Ovis aries: one gene and its partner. The protein of the gene in region 1 purifies or fractionates together with the protein of each later gene. This does not show direct contact. Links are inferred from orthologs where the notes say so. Each region holds a gene or a part of one and is shown in the gene's direction. Other genes may lie near its edges. The genes, in order: cytochrome b-c1 complex subunit 7 and cytochrome c oxidase subunit 6B1.

What was found.
Region 2: the proteins of cytochrome b-c1 complex subunit 7 (region 1) and cytochrome c oxidase subunit 6B1 purify together in Homo sapiens (affinity purification with mass spectrometry; 3 studies listed by BioGRID and IntAct, counting the BioPlex papers as one, with this or other methods). This does not show direct contact. The link is inferred for Ovis aries from reciprocal best matches to the Homo sapiens genes UQCRB and COX6B1.

What each region holds. Positions count from the first base shown.
Region 1 is NC_056062.1:80,894,358-80,898,910, forward strand, and holds the start of cytochrome b-c1 complex subunit 7, read left to right. Parts: upstream 1-1,460; 5' UTR 1,461-1,473; coding exon 1,474-1,492; intron 1,493-4,243; coding exon 4,244-4,315; intron 4,316-4,553. UniProt on the Homo sapiens protein: Component of the ubiquinol-cytochrome c oxidoreductase, a multisubunit transmembrane complex that is part of the mitochondrial electron transport chain which drives oxidative phosphorylation.
Region 2 is NC_056067.1:45,681,489-45,685,972, forward strand, and holds the start of cytochrome c oxidase subunit 6B1, read left to right. Parts: upstream 1-1,561; 5' UTR 1,562-1,633; intron 1,634-3,188; 5' UTR 3,189-3,201; coding exon 3,202-3,307; intron 3,308-4,484. UniProt on the Homo sapiens protein: Component of the cytochrome c oxidase, the last enzyme in the mitochondrial electron transport chain which drives oxidative phosphorylation.

The sequences.
Region 1 (4,553 bases):
TTCATCTTATGCTTCTAACTGGAAAGAACTGTAAGAAAGTAAATTTGTTTTTTAAGCTACCCAGTCTATGATTTGTTACCATACACTGAGCAGCCCAAGACAGTATTGGTGCAGAAGTTCATCAGTAACTCAGTAAGCATCAAACATCGTAAACAAACCCGACTGTTTTGTCTCTAGGGTATTTTGTTGTTGTTGTTGTTTTAATACTTTTAAATCTCTTTAATACACCTGGAGTTTATTTTGATAAAAGGTGTAAAGAGATGGTCTGACTTGTCCCCTGGGCCTGTCTCACCCACAAATTAACCAACTATTCTGTTCTGCAACCTTAAGTAAAATTCTTCTACCTCAACAATTTGTGATCCTGCTGTCCCTAGTTTTTTACACTTTAGACTTAAGTTGGACTGAAACCTTTAAAATGTACTTTTACCTTAAAATTGCATTAAAATTCTGCTACAGTTCAAATTTAGTATTAAATTGTTCTTCTCAACAAGACTATCACTGAAATGGCTTGATGTAGAACTTCACCTGGAGAAACTGAAGGTGAGAGAGGGTTAGTTTCCCCTGGGTCAGTGGTGTAGCATATGGCCCTAGGATCGCGGAGTGCCAAAGTTGTATCTTTGGGGCTTCCCTGGTGGCTCAGTGGTAGAGAATCTGGCTGCCAATGCAGGAGACACAGGTTCGATCCCTGGGTCAAGAAAATCCTGTGGAGAAGGAAATGGCAACCCATTCCAGTATTCTTGCCTGGGAACTTCCAGGCACAGAGGAGCCTGACTGGGCTTTAGCCCATGGGGTTGCAAAAGAGTCAGGATTTAGCAACTGAACGACATTTTATCTAGAGTCTCAGATTCTGGAAGGTGAATCTGGATTCCTCCTAGTTTAAGTGCCCTTAGACAATTTACGCAACCTTTCAGAGCTTCAGTTTCCTCTTCTCTAAAATGGGTACAATCACCGTATTTATCTTATAGGTTTAGAATGAAATTAAAATAAGTCCATAAAACGCTTAGCGTGTTGCTTGACACAAAGGGCGCAGTTATTACTGCCCAACCTCTCAGAGATCGTCACTAACAGAAGCCAGGCTAAAGATCTGGTGTTCTAATTCCTTGCCTGCGTACGTGCTAAATCGCTTCAGTCTTGTCCGACTCTTTGCGATCCTATGGACCTCTGTCCATGGGATTCTTTAAGCGAGAATACTGGAGCAGGTTGCCATTTCCTTCTCTAGTTCTAATTCCTCGCCTAATGTTTTTTCCCACCTTGTCGCAGGGAACGTGTCGCGGTTCCACGCCTACGAGATTAGCATAATCGTGACCGACAGGTGTACGTCCTCAGAGGCCAAAGGCTGGCCGCCAGAACTGCGCCTGCGCGAGCGTCTCCCCGCCCTACGCGCCGCACGACGTGACGCAACGCGCCTGCGCCCTGGGCCCTGCTCGACCTCTAGGACTTACCCAGGAGGCAACGCTTCTGTGTCAGGTCAACATGGCGGGCCGGCCAGCTGGTAAGTCACGGGCGGCCTGCCTGGCGGGCATCGCTGCGCTGAACCTTTTATACTTGCAGCAACTTGCTCCTCTCCCTGTGCTCGGTCTAAAAGGGCAGGTTTATGGCGGGAGGGAAGGAGGCGGCTCCAGCCCACCTTGGGCCCACCCCCATTCCGTCTCCAGGGCCGGCTGTTGGTGAAGTTGTCCGCGGTGGCCCCCATAGCCCTGGCGCTCCGGATGCTCGAGCTCTGAGCCCTTCTCCTCTCGACCTTAGAAGAAGTTCAAGGGCACCAGGAGATAGTGGCTCTCAACCGAAGTGAACCGAGCGTTTACTGTGAGCCAGGCGCTGTCGTGTGCGTTAGCTAGGTCCGTTCTGTCAGCGCGAGGAGGACAGTGTCAGTTTTCCTTGTAGGCGGTAAAATAACTGAGGCGAAGTGGCCGGAGGAAACAGGATTGGAAGCCTCGCTGAACCTCTCTCGCGCTTCTCAAACGGAATTTAGAGGCAGCTGAGTGAGTGAGGGTTACGGCGAAGCTTCAGTTTAATAACCTTGGCTTATCTGGAACATCCACTTGGTCTTTGGATTTGGAGACATTTGCATCTATTCTAGGTATTGGAACAGATGTGTTTATTATGGAATAGAACGCAGATATTACTGGAATATTTAAACAACGTGAAAAAATACAGTCCTCTCCCCGCTCCTTCCCCACCCCCCCTTTTTTGTCAGTCCCTAACCCGCCTGCCAGTGCAGGAGACGCGGGTTGGAACCCCGGGTGGGGAAAGATCCTGTGGAGTAGGAAATGGCAACCCTCTTCAGTATTGCCTGAAAAATTTCATAGACAGTGGAGGCTGATGGGCTACAGTCCATGGGGTCGCAGAGTCGCAGGCGAGTGAACACACACATACCTCCTAGCTTTTTTAAAAAACGTTGTTCCCTATTTCGGTACCCCCAACAGTTGTGAAGCTATTAGGAAACACCAGATTGCCAGAACAATTCGTTAACCTAAATGACATTGAGCTTTTGGGGAGTGGCGGAGACATTTAAAAATTCATTATTTCCTTAACTAGACAACTACTGAAGACATTGTGCTTCAGTGCTGTGTTTGCAAACTACATAGACCTGGCCTCAGCTCCATCACTGGCTGCCTCTGATCTTGGATGGGATAATTCATGTAATACTTATTGCTCTTTTGCAAGGACTTGCGGGTTGTAAGTAACTCAGGCATGGGAGTAAAACAAATAGAATAGTGCCTGGCACACAGTAAGTGTTCAGTGGATATTAAACATTATTACCATCACTGGTAAATATGTTTTCAAGTAATTCTCTCCTACAAATGTGTCTGTAGATTGTTGACGATTTGTTGTTATTTTAGAAGCAACATTATACACCTGGTGCTTAATTTCCAAAGAGAGTTACCAAAGCTGTGATGTCTAAGAGGTTGAATCAAAAGAGAGTTTGTTTTCCTTCCTTGGTTAGGGACTATCCCTAAGACAAAATTTTAAAAGAAAATTTAAACTTTCCATACCTCCCTCTCTGTACCACATCTCTCCTGTAAACATCAGACACTGTCATGTTGCCTTTAACTCCTACTGGGTAACCCATCAAGCTCAGTTCTGTTTCGGAAAGAGTTTTAACATTACCTGTTTCTCCTCATACGCTTTGAAATATTCATTCCCTCCAAGGAAAGTTAGCTGCTGGGGAAGAGGGAAATGTGCTTTTTTTACTAGTCCATATGGGATCAAAACCCTCCCAGAAATACATACATTTTTAAAGAGAGTAGCCAAGTGAAATAAAAGTAATGTAAAATAAAAGTTTTGGAAGATGGGGGTCATTTAATCTGCTAGTGTATCCTGAAATCTCATCTTTTCATACAACTCCAGCTCCCTTGAAAAGTTATTAAAAGAGTTATTTCCTGTAACCTGTTTCTGAAATTGCAAATGATGGAGTTTCTTTTCCGTCCCCCACTCCTTTAATTCTAACAGCAGCAAGGGGACATGATGGAATGGGATGCTTGACTTTGAAAAGCTGGAGTGGCAGTACAGTTGGCCCTCTGTATCCACTGGTTCCACACTGGAGAATTCAGCCAACCTCCTGATGGAAAATATTTTGAAGAAAAAATTTCACAAAGTTCAAAAAAAACAAAACTTGAACTTGCTGCTCTCAGCCATCTATTTATATAGCATTTATTTTGTATTTACTCCTATTTACATCGCTCTTACATTGTATTAAGGTGGCAGTGGTAGTAAAGAATCCCTCTGGAGACTCAAGAGATGTGGGTTTGATCCCTGGGTTGGGAAGATTGCCTGGAGGAGGAAATGGCAAACCCCTCCAGTATTCTTTCCTGGAAAATCTGAGGGACAGAGGAGCCTGGCGGGCTACAATCCATATAGGGTTGCAAAGAGTCATACACAACTGAGCAACTAAGCACAGCCCAGAGAAAATTTAAAATAGGAAAACATGCTTGGATTATATGCAAACACTGTACTGTTTTATATGGGAGACTTGAGCCTCTTGGAGTTTGGTATCTGAGGGGGATCCTGAAATCAGTCCCTTGCAGATAGTGAGGGACTGTAATCATACCTATAGGTCTTTCAGGTGTTTGAGTTTATCCTTTTTCCTTACTGTCCAGTTTTTACCTGCAGTCACTTTTGTTGATAGACAAGGTAAGCAGTTTTTACCTACAATATATAGAGTATATGCTTTTAAAAGAAATTCCTTCCTGTGTTTGCATAGGAAGTAGGATTATTAGCAATTAATAGTCTGACTTATCAGTTTCAGCATCAAGCAAGTGGCTGGAGGGTATTCGAAAATGGTATTACAACGCTGCCGGGTTCAATAAACTGGGTGAGTATTTGTGCTTCTTATTTTGTTTTCTTCTTCTTCTGAGTATAGTGCTTTTGTAGGAGTTAGTATGGATCCTCAGAATACATGAACTATTCGTACCTGTGTACCTTAAATTTTAAAATTAAGTCATTTTATTGTTAAATCCATTTCCTTTTTATTATTGAGAAGAGAGGGATGGAATTGTCCCAAATGTATGAGGTGGACATGATTTATGTTCTTGAAATATGAGAGCAGAACA
Region 2 (4,484 bases), on another chromosome or scaffold:
TGAAAGAGGAGAGGGAAAAAGTTGTCTTAAAGCTCAACATTTAGAAAACGAAGATCATGGCATCTGGTCCCATCACTTCATGGCAAATAGATGGGGAAACAGTGGAAACAGTGTCAGACTTTATTTTGGGGGGCACTAAAATCATGGCAGACAGTGATTGCAGCCATGAAATTAAAAGATGCTTACTCCTTGGAAGGAGGGTTATGACCAACCTAGATAGCATATTGAAAAGCAGAGATATTACTTTGCCAACAAAGGTCCTTCTAGTCAAGGCTATGGTTTTTCCAGTAGTCATGTATGGGTGTGAGAGTTGGACTGTGAAGAAAGCTGAGCACCGAAGAATTGATGCTTTTGAACTGTGGTGTTGGAGAAGACTCTTGAGAGTCCCTTGGACTGCAAAGAGATCCAACCAATCCATTCTAAAGGAGATCGGTCCTGGGTGTTCTTTGGAAGGAATGATGCTGAAGCTGAAACTCCAGTACTTTGGCCACCTCATGAGAAGGGTTGACTCACTGGAAAAGACTCTGATGCTGGGAGGGATTGGGGGCAGGAGGAGAAAGGGACAACAGAGGATGAGATGGCTGGATCGCATCACCGACTCGATGGACGTGAGTTTGAGTGAACTCCGGGAGTTGGTGATGGACAGGGAGGCCTGGCGTGCTGCGATTCATGGGGTCGCAAAGAGTCGGACACGACGGAGCGACTGAACTGAACTGAAACTACCAATTGGGATTCCCTGATAGCTCAGTTGGTAAAGAATCCGCCTGCAATGCAGGAGACAACAGTCGATTCCTGGGTCAGGAAGATCCCCTGGAGAAGGGAAAGGCTACCCACTCCAGTATTCTGGCCTAGAGAATTCCATGGAAAGTCCATGGGGTCGCAAAGAGTTGGACACGACTGAGCCACTTTCACTTTCATACTAACAATTGGCCCCATAATAGTCACAGAGATTTTTGTGTTTAGTTCAACTATGCTTGAAGTGAAGTCGCTCAGTCGTGTCCGACTCCTTGCAACCCCGCGGACTGTAGCCTACCAGGCTTCTCCGTCCATGGGATTCTCCAGGCAAGAATACTGGAGTGGGTTACCATTTCCTTCTCCAGGGGATCATCCTGACCCAGGGATCGAACCCGGGTCTCCCGCACTGGAGGCAGACGCTTTAACCTCCGAGCCACCAATAGAAGCACCTGGCACTGGGTAAAATATTCAATAAATAATTCTTGCACAAATAAGAGCATTTCTGCTGGACTATTTTCCGCAGGACCACTCAACAGCCAACTCCAGGAACCAGAACCCCTTTCTCTATTAAAGACAGAGAGCTGACCAGGCCGGGTCAATACCTTGGAACGGAGCCCACAGCTTGCAACAGCTCGGAAAGGTACCTAACAAGTGCCACGCAAGGTTACGATTGGGCCCAGAATGAGGATGAACAGGCATTCGGCCCAATAGGAGGTTGGAATTTGCAATATGGGCGTGGCCCGAACTGCTTCAGGGACGGCGCTCTGGCCGTGCGGAAGACTCTTCTGTGCGTTGCTCCGTCCCGCTTCCGGCCGACCTTTTTTCCGCTTCCGGTCCGGTACTGGCGTCTTTGCTGAGGGTCACATTGAGCTTCCAGCGACTTCAGGGGCATCTTTAGGTGAGTGTTGAGGGCTTGGGACCCTGGAACCCCATCTTGGAGGACTGAGGATCCCTACTAGAAAATGAAATGAGGTTTCCAGCCTGCGGTGGCTGACCTCCCGGAGCCCTGGGGTCGTTTCAATCTGACGATTATTTGGTTCTTCTCGGATGTCTAGAACTTTCAAAGCGATTTATATTGATTCATTTAAGCTTCCCTCCAACTCTCTGAGATAGGGCCTGTGATTATCTCTTTTAGGAGGCAACTGAGGCTTAGATACTACGCAGTTTAGCTAGCGATCAGGATTTGAAATCATTAGGACTGCATTGCTCTTAATCACCAGGCCGCAGGCGTTTCTCTCCCCGGTCTCTGACCCCCGAGGCTTGGCTGGCCTGGCTTCTTGGTGACTCTCCACCCTCACCCCCTGCCCCTTGCACGTTCGAGGGGCTGCAGCGTCATCCCCAGTCCATCCTTACTCCCGAAATCAGGTGGAGATGGCTTTCAAAACAACTCTTCCGACCGAGTCTGTCCCCGCCTCTAGTGTTCTACATCCTCTGCTCCCGGAAAGACACTACTCCGGTGCCCCAAATCCTTACCACTACCTTGGGTCACTTGAATTTATTACTGGTCTGGTTAACTTATATGTAATACCACGACTCCTCGAATAATCTGGAATAGAGGCGGTGTCAGATTTCCTAATGAAAACCGTTTGTCACCTCATAAAAGATTATGGGACAGGTTTTTATCCCTAGGCCCGCAGAATGGATGGAACTCATGGGATGCTAGTACGTGAATGGAGGGAAATTTACGTCTGTATTTTTGCCAGTTTCTCATTGAACTCTCTTCCTTCGCTTGGGAATGGAGGCAGTAGCGGTAGTATTTGGCATCATCTGTGACTTTATCAGCAGTGAAAATGACAGGTCATCATATCATATATCCCATTATGTTTGCAGATTTCACAGCATGACCCTATTCAGGCGTGATTATTTTGAAATTGTGGTAGTTCATAAATCCTCAGCTACATGTAATTGGTTTTCTTTGTGATCCTGTGCCATTTTTAAATGCCCTGAAACATATTTGGAGAAAGGGTTCATTAGACTCCTGAGTACTTCATGGCACCAATAGAGATTAAGAACCTTTGCAGTGTAGGTTATGTTAGTGGTGGGAGTGCACCTCCACTCCATGTGTGCTGTATGACCTTGGGAAGTTGCTTAAACACCCTGTCTCTTGTCTGTGAAGCAGTGATAGTAATAGTTCCTGTCTTTTAGAGTAGCTTTAGGAGTAAAGCTTCCTTGCCTATAATAAGCACTCAGTGAATATCAACTAGTGTTATTTTGGCCTGTTTTTTTTTTTACCGAGCAGTTGTCTACCCCGACACATCCTGCTGTGACTTCCATAACTAATGTGTTCTTGCCCAGCCCTTCACCTCTATCTGTATGTTGAAAGGGAGGGGGTATTGGCTTGTTCACACCCAGCCCATTCTTCTCTGTCAGGTCTCCACTGGGCCTGGGTGGGCTGACAGCCCCCTGTCCAGGCCCCCAGGACCTCTGCCACAATCCACTCTGTTTCCCTCCAGGAGTGCTGACACTATGGCAGAAGACATCCAGACCAAAATCAAGAACTACCAGACTGCTCCTTTTGACAGCCGCTTCCCCAACCAGAACCAGACCAGGAACTGCTGGCAGAACTACCTGGGTGAGCAGGACTTGGGGAGGAGGCGGGCAATGTTGACCTTCCCCTGATCCCACACTTACCTCTTACCTCCTCATCGCCTCTTCTCTTTAATTCTGAACATCCTACTTCACGGGGCCCATGCCACCCATCACCTCCTGTATTCAAGATTTGACCTAAGGTCACAAACTTTGGATTCCATAGTCATTTCCCCCCCCAAGATGTGTATATGTCTATCTGTATGGAATGTAACATGCTTATAGGAAGTACATAAACCATAATGTACAGCTAAATCAATAACTCTAAATTGAATCCTCCATGTGATTATAATCTGGATAGAAAATGGGATACTGCCAGTCCCCTGAGCTCCCCTGTCTGCTGCATGCCGTCTCTTGAAAGCAACACTCTGCTCTCCCCACCAGAGTTGTAACCCCACAGACCTAGGGCAGTCATATTTTGGTTTTATCACCACTTTCAGGTCTGCCTCTTTGTGAACTTTAGAAATACTGTGTGTTGTCTTATGCTTGGATTTCTTCATTCAATAGTTATGAAGATTCTTCCATGCTGTGGCATATATTTTTCTCATTTTTATTGTGTGCAGTTTTCCAACATTTCATTCATGAACACTGGTGTGGTTTCCAGTTTGGGGCTCATATGAATGATGCTGCTATGATTGATGTAATTTGATGTCTTTGTGAATGCTTTCTCTCTTAGGGAGTGTGCCCAGGAGTGTAATACTTGGAATAATCTTTGAATTAATTTCCTACTATTAAAAACCAGATTATCCCCCTCCTTTCTCCTCTCCTGGATGCCAGCATCTTAGCATCAAGACCATCTTGCCCTTCCCTTGTCCTGGTTCAGGACTTCCATAATCCCTACACACACCTCTCAGGTTGCCCTGTTATTCCTGACTCAGAAGTTCCAAGTTGAACAGTAGTTCTTTTTCTTTTTTTTCTTGGCTACTCCGGGTCTCCTTTGTGGTGCACAGGCTAGGCTTCGTTACCCTGTGGGATCTTAGTTCCTCCACCGGGGCATGAACCCAGGTCCCCTGTAATGAATGGAAGGTGGATTCCTAACACCAGGGAAGTCCCAGACAGTAGTACTTTATGGATTGCAAAATAAGCTTAGTGTGGTGTGTCTAGCCCTTTTTAGTACTACACTTGTAAGGATATACTTTCTTTGTGAAACTTGGGAGTGTGGG